Danio rerio: one gene and its partner. The protein of the gene in region 2 interacts with the protein of the main gene of each other region in a pairwise test. Links are inferred from orthologs where the notes say so. Each region holds a gene or a part of one and is shown on either strand. Other genes may lie near its edges.

Region 1 (4,152 bases), on a different chromosome or scaffold from region 2:
CAAGACCGTCACAAATAAATAGTAGAATGGAAAGTTAGTCAAACATAAAAAACATTTAGTTAAAAAAAATTGTTTACTCAAAACTGAAAATTCCGTCGTTGTCATTCACTCAATTTTCAAACCTTTCTTCTATTGGACATAAAAGACATTTTAAAGAAATCTGTAACCATTGACGTCCATAGTATTCATTTTTCCAATAGAAGTCAATGGTTACAATTTTCTTCAAAATATCTTCTTTTGTGTTTGAAGGAATAAAGAAACTCAAAGTTCTGTAACCACTGGATGAGGATTAAATAGCGAGTAAATTTTTAAATATTTTTAGTGAACTATCCATTTAACTTAAGCTCATGTATATGCTTATGTATTGCTATATATGCCGAAATAAATTGTAAATTTCATTTAATGAAATGCTTAAAGGGATAGTTCACCCAAAAATGGAAAAAAATAAATAAATAAATTTACCCAAAGGCAAGTGGTTCTACTGTTGAAGACAAAACAAGATATTCTGAAAAATGCTGGGGGAAAAAAATGACAGACATTTATAGTAGAAACAAAAAATGTTTTTCTTCAGCAAATTTTCCTTTGGGTTCAATATAAGAAAGAAACTTTATAAGATTAGAAAGAGTAAATGATGACATTTTTTGTTTTTTAGGAAACTATCCCTTCAAAACACTTATATTTTTGAAAAAATAACATGTAAATATTTCAGGTTTTATCGCTATATACATACTATACAATTTACAATTTGAAGTTATGCGTTTGAATAAAATGTCTTATTTTCATCTGTAAAGTACTGAAAACATTTCTGTCAATTTTATGTTTGCATAAAGGTGTAATGTTTTTAGAGCTCAATTGTTTTTTTTTAAACAAATGAATACTAATGTTTAAACTAAGATTCTAACGGTATGATAACCTTGGATAAAAAATATCATGGTTTCACGGTACTGTGATTACTGCTTTAAAATATATTATTTAGAAATGTCTGGGTAAAAAACAAAAAACTTTTCCCACCTTTGAGCACACTATATTTTATTTTGAGAAACGTTTAAAATATTTTGGAGCAGTAAACATGTCAGACTGAACAATTTAAATGATTCATTGACTTCTGCTGTCTTCGTAAGTTTCAAAAACACAGATTTCTTTAAAACTTAAAATGGCATCTTTGGATATCTTTTTTGCTGGAAATACTGTTGCCCTAAAAAACAAACAAAAAAAAAAAAAATCTTACACATACCTTAGGAACGGTATAGCAGAAAAGTTTGGTGGTTTTAAAACCTTGACTTTTCCATATCACAGTATACCTTGAAAATGGTTATATATAACATTGTTTTCTATCATATGTAATATGTTAAGGGTTAAAGTATTAAAATACTATTTAATATAAAATAATATAGAATATTATTATAATAACAATGTTGCATTGTGTAATAATTACATTATAAAATAAAATATTATTATTACAACGGATAAAATTTGTCCACCACCCCCAATCATGGAACAATGCAGCTGTCAGATTTATAGAAAAATATTTTATTTTTAGTTGTTAATTCATTATTATAATATGAATAATTTACAATGAATAGATTGCCGTTAGGATAAAAACTAAGAAACGAAGATTATGTGATATTTAAAAAAGTTGCTAAATAATAAAAATTAAGTAAAAGAGGAAAGGGTGCACATTAGGATTGAGGTACAGTTGGTTTTATATTTTGCACATTTGTTCAGTTACAACTTGTGACAAGCTCTCTATATTATTTACACTGTTATTATGAATATTTGATCTGAAATGTAATGTAAAAATGACTTGTAAACAACATTAGCACCATTTATTTCACTATGAACAATGTTGTGCTTTGATAGTGATTGGCTGCTAATATGACCTCACTATTTAGACCTTGCACAGAAAACTTTGCTGAAATTATATTATTAGAGAGAAAGTCCTATTTACTGTATGTGAATCTAAAACCAACTTTCCCTCAACCTTTTTAGGACTGTTGGGCCCCATGAATGGAATTGGTTAATGCCCCCAAATCACTAAATCTGCCCAGTCCAGCAGTCAAATTCACAAACCTTTATAGATGTCCTTTTCAATTATGTGTTTTTGAAGTTTTACCTTCAGGCTGTAAGAAGATCCTCCCGATCTCTCCATACGCACTCAGGAGATTCCGCATGTGTTTCGGTCTCATCCTTGGAGGAATGTGTCCCAAATACACGATACCTGGAACACATTTCTTGCCCTTTGGCTTGTCAGACTCGTCTTCTTCATCATCATCATCATCATCTTCAATCTCCATGTGAAAAGCTTCACCATCATTAATGTCTTCCTCAGAGTTCATCTCCTGCTCATCTTCTTCAGCACTGTCTGCTTTCTCCTCTTCATCTTTCTCTGGTTTACAGTCATTTAACTCGTCTTCACTGAACACAGGTTGTGTTTCTAGGTCTGTTTTCACTTCATTCGTCTCCAGGAGAGACATTATTGGATGTAGCAACGTTTAGAGACTGAAATTAGGAATGAAGGATGTTAAAAACCCATTAAAATCTCACATTACCGAGGGTCTCATCTATAAAATAACGTAAATAAGTGGTAATATCTGTGCGCGTACTCTTGAATTCAATACCTTTTTAAAAACACTTGTATTAAAAGTGATTCTTACATTGAAAATGTTATCGGGGTGTTTCCTTTCACAAAGCTTTCTTCGTCCATAAAGCAATCAATCCTTTCCAAGACGCTTTTATAGGAGAATTGTTGCGATAAATCGACTCTTTCAACACATGTGGCTGTGGTACTGGAAGCGGCTGTGACGTCGAAATCAAGCGTCAAAACTTTCTTAAAGAGACAGAACTGAGAAGGTTCTCGTCAAATCCGTTGTATTAAATTTCGTTAATATCGAATGATATATTCGTTTTACTAATCTGCCAAGTTGACTATATATTTAAACACGCTTAAATAGAATATGTATAAATTTATTACTGGAATGGACGATTATTTAAAACATTTTAACTGTAACCTTTGTTTTGAACAGCAGAGGACGACAAAACACAAGGAACAACTTAAGCATCATGATCTGGATTAAATAAAAAGGTACCACATTCATTCATTCATTCATTCATTCATTCATTCATTCATTCATTCATTCATTCATTCATTCATTCAATTATTCATTCATTCATTCATTCATTCAATTTCTTTTCGACTTAGTCCCTTTATTCATCAGGGGTCGCCACAGTGGAATGAAACACCAACTTATCCAGCATATGTTTTACACAGCGGATGCCCTTCCAGCTGCAACCCAACACTGGCTGGCAAGGTACCACATTAAATACTTTATAATTCTGTTTTAGTATAGCTAGAAGCTTCAACTTCCAACCCTTTGATAATGCTACCAACTAGCCAGCAGCTTTTGACTTAAAGATGATTAATTAAAGTTTAAGTTCAAAAATACAATAATTTCTAAAGGAGAATTATCTACAAAGAGGATAATTTCCCACAGAAGTAAACGAACAAAAAAACAAACATTCATTCATTTTCTTTTCGGCTTAGTCCCTTTATTCATCAGATGTCGCCTCAGCGGAATGAACCCCCAACTTATCCAGCATATGTTTTAAGCAGCAGATGCCCTTCTAGTTGCAACCCATCATTGGGAAACATCCATACATACGCATTTACACACTACGGACAATTTAGCTTACACCAATTCACCTATACCACATGTCTTTGGACTGTGGGGGAAACCAGAGCACCCAGAGGAAACCCACACCAACGCAGGGAGAGCATGCAAACTCCACACAGAAATGCCAACTGACCCAGCCGAGACTCAAACTAGCGACCTTCTTGCTGTGAGGCGAGTATGCTACCCATTGTGCCACCGTGACACCCAACATACAAACAAACATTCATTCATTTTCTTGTCGGCTTAGTCCCTTTATTAATCCAGGCTCGCCACAGCAGAATGAACCGCCAACTTATCCAGCAAGTTTTTACGGAGCAGATGCCCTTCCAGCCGCAACCCATCTCTGGGAAACATTCACACACACACAGTCATACACTTCGGACAATTACAATTACTACAATTTAGCCTACCCAATTCACCTGTACCGCATGTCTTTGGACTGTGGGGGAAACCGGAGCACCTGGAGGAAACCCACGTGAAC
Region 2 (3,895 bases):
TAAATTATTATCAATATTTAATTATATTATATATTATATCAATATATTTACTGAATATATTCAGTAAAACTCTGCACAGTGATTAGTAGAAAGACAGCATTCAAATGCAATTTAGACAAGCAGTCTGTCTCACCCCCATTCAAAGCCATTGCGAATATAAAAAGTGAAAGTGAAAAAATGCTTAAAAAACACTTAAGTATTTCGGTTTAAGTCACCCCTTGTGCTAAGCAACCACACTTAGATGGAAAAAAAACTGCAAATGAATCGCAACAGGACTAGTTTTATCATTTTAGTTTCTCTGATCCATATTGTTGATCTTAACATACTGTGAGAAGTCTCCTGCATGTCGAAATGTCCAGGCTCTGGATACTGGCGTTATCGGTGTCCGGTTTCTCTGTAGAGTCCTGCGGTTTCAATTCTTGAGCTGACCTGTTCAACAAGACATTCATTAGCCCGATCCATCAGAAAAACAGAGCTATTCACTGCAGATCTTACCTGAGGTTACTCTGCTGAATGATTCGATCCAAGCGTCTCAGCTGCTGTTTGCAGGTCTTCAGCTCTTTAATCGTGGGTCTAAAACAAATGTAACATCAAAAAAGTCAACAAAATGACTAAAGTATAAAACAATGATAAACAGGGTTCCCACTGTAAGACAAATGTAAATGTCCTTGACTTTTTTCTAACTTTTACTAACTAAAAAGCAAAATTTCCAAATAGGGAGATGTTGTGTTGAGCAGTGCTGACAGAATTCTGCGGTCGCTGAATTTAATGCAAAAAAATTAAATAAATAAATAAGGCAAATGGAGCAAAAGATTGCATCCAACTTTCTGCAGATCTTGGCAAGCTGTGACAAATGTTCAACATGTGTTCAAATTCCTTCCATATCATTTAATAATAAATAACACTATACTCATGTATAGAAAGTGCTCATACTGGTGTCATATACAGATGTGTGACCTGCTTTAGACACATCATAAAAAAAAAACACAACATTGAATTCAGCCAGTCAATTTTGTTGTATCGATCAGTAAACATGTGAACATTTTTAACATTACTGTTTAAGAAATTGACAGTTTAGTTTATTTTAATCATTTAGAGAGGCTGCACGGTGGTTCGGTGGTTAGCACTGTCACCTCACAGCAAGAAGGTTGCTGATTCGAGTCCCGGTTGGACCAGTTGGCATTTCTGTGTGGAGTTTACATGTTTTCCCAGTATTCGTGTGGGTTTCCTCCACAGTCCAAAGATGTGCAATAAGTGAATTGGATGAACTAAATTGGCCGTAGTGTATGAGTGCCTGTGTGAATAAGAGAGTGTATGGGTGTTTCCAAGTACTGGGTTGCAGCTGGAAGTGCATCTGCTGCGTAAAACATACGTCGAAATAGTTGGTGGTTCATTCTGCTGTAATGACCCCTGATAAATAAGAGACTGAGCTGAAGGAAAATTAATGAATGACAATTTAGAGTCAGTCATGCATCAAATATGATGTAGTAAGCTTTACGATTAAGAAGTAAACACTTTCTTTGTTTCTGTGTTCTCTTTATATAGAGTTCAATGGCTATTGAGGTTAAAAAGTAATATTAAAAAATAACAACTAAGATGTGTATATTATAACCGCAAAAACAACAATAATGATAAAAATGTACAAATATTGCAACATATTTTAAGAATCGGCCATTTTAGGCTGCAATAATCAGAAACTTTTACCAAAAATCCAAGTATAAAGAATTAAGATGACAGTGAAAAATTGCCTAACCATGACAACAGGCCAAACACATGAAACAACGATAATAATACACAATGTAGAATTATTTTTTTTTGGTTATGGTAAGTAAAATTTAAAATGGCATAATGGTGGCGCAGTGGGTAGCAAAATTGTCTCACAGCAAGAAGGTCGCTGGTTCGAGCCTCGGCTGGGTCAGTTGGCATTTCTGTGTGGAGTTTGCATGTTCTTCCCGCGTTTACGTGGGTTTCCTCCGAGTGCTCCGGTTTACACCACAGTCCAAAGACATGTGCTGAATAAACAAAACTGTCCATAATGACAATGAGAGCATTTGGGTGTTTCCCAGTGATAGGTTGCAGCTGGAAGGGCATCAGCTGCGTAAAACATATGCTGGATAAGTTGGTGGTTCATTCCTCTGTGGTGACCCCAGATTAACAAAGGGACTAAGCCGAAAAGAAAATTAATAAATGAATAAAATTTATATGACAAACAAAAATCTCTGATATTCCATGAAATAATACAACAACAAAAAAAAACTCCTTGACTTTCAATGTCTGGAAAAACCTTCTAAGATGTCACGATATTCCAGAAATTCTATGACCAGTGGGAATCCTGGGTAATGTCTTAAAAAATCTGCAACCAACCTGGATTCCAGATCTTCCTTCAAGCGCTGGATTTCAGTCCTGAGCTCTTCCCGCTGAGCTTTGGATTCCTTTAGTTGCTCCTGGTATGACTGCAGATGAACAAAATCTAATTTACATTAGGGATCTTCATTATATTTTGCAATATACCCATAAAAAAAAGATTAATCACCACTATAAGAATTGCTCTTACAGCGACAATAAAATCTCCAATCTTAAATTAAATCTTAAATTACCTCTAAAATCTAGAACTGGTTTGTTCAAATGCTTTATGTGATCACTCATTTACCACACAAGCCAAGCGCAAGTCTAGACCTAAGTCGAAGCCCAGCCTGTGTAAAATGAACTACATTATTCCCTAAAGTCATTGAGTTTGGGCAAAGATCTTCAGCTCTAGCCTGTGTTGCGCTGTGTTAACCAAGGTTGCAGTGATAAAAGTGCTTGGGCCCCTCAATGCTGCTTGCAGCTTTAAATATTATTGTTTGTATTATTATTACTTGTTTAAACAGCTTGTTGCCATCTCTGCAGAGACTTAAAGGGACAGTTCAAACAAAAATAAAATATACTCAAGTTGTTTGAAACTTTTAGGAAAAATTTTTTTCTGTTGAACACAAAGCTGGATATTCAGAAGAATGTCTGGATAAAAGCACCCAATTGACATCCAAAGTAAAAACCAGAGATGTATAAAGTTATTAATTCTGGTACTTTTAGCATAAACCAACATCTCAACTATTTGGTAGAGGCTGATATTTTAGAAATTATGGAAAGTGTTGGGGAAAAAATGCATTGCCTGTGTTAACTAGCGACATTAGGAGTTAAGAAATGCAGTCAAAAAAAATTATATTGGTGCGACAGTAAAAGGATTATTTGTAATACAATTTAGTTCTTAAATATATGAACTGTGCCCTTAATTTGACCTGCTCAAAGAAAACATTCTTTCTGAATGTATCAAACAAAACACGTGCACAAAAGACAGGATGAGCATTTACAGCAAATTCATTCATTCATTCATTTTCTTGTCAGCTTAGTCCCTTTATTAATCCAGGGTCGCCACAGCGGAATGAACCGCCAACTTATCCAGCAAGTTTTTATGCAGCGGATGCCCTTCCAGCCGCAACTCATTTCTGGGAAACATCCACACACACATTCACACACACACTCATACACAACGGACAATTTAGCTTACCCAATTCACCTGTACCACATGTCTTTGGACTGTGGGGGAAACCGGAGCACCCGGAGGAAACCCACATGAAGGCAGGGAGAACATGCAAACTCCACACAGAAACGCCAACTGACCCAGCCGAGGCTCGAACCAGCGACCTTCTTGCTGTGAGGCGACAGCACTACCTACTGCGCCACTGCCTCGCCATTTACAGCAAATAAACTAATGTAAATATTATCCCGCCTGCTTTTTGAGCGCTGACAGGCGAAGGTCTTACACGTCTATAATTGGTTATTGTCTTTACCTTCTCAACAGAAAGAGCTTTAGAAATTTAGGCGCTGTTCACCAATGGCGGGAAGAGCAGCCGCC

Evidence for each region. The genes of interacting proteins can lie anywhere in the genome.
Region 1: the proteins of cep70 (region 2) and abt1 interact in a two-hybrid assay, tested with the Homo sapiens proteins (2 studies listed by BioGRID and IntAct). The two-hybrid records come from large-scale screens. The link is inferred for Danio rerio from reciprocal best matches to the Homo sapiens genes CEP70 and ABT1.

What each region holds. Positions count from the first base shown.
Region 1 is NC_133183.1:10,041,783-10,045,934, forward strand, and holds the start of abt1 (activator of basal transcription 1), read right to left. Parts: upstream 2,801-4,152; 5' UTR 2,655-2,800; intron 2,500-2,654; 5' UTR 2,475-2,499; coding exon 2,114-2,474; intron 1-2,113.
Region 2 is NC_133197.1:12,304,473-12,308,367, forward strand, and holds part of cep70 (centrosomal protein of 70 kDa), read right to left. Parts: intron 2,454-3,895; coding exon 2,365-2,453; intron 574-2,364; coding exon 496-573; intron 430-495; coding exon 327-429; intron 1-326.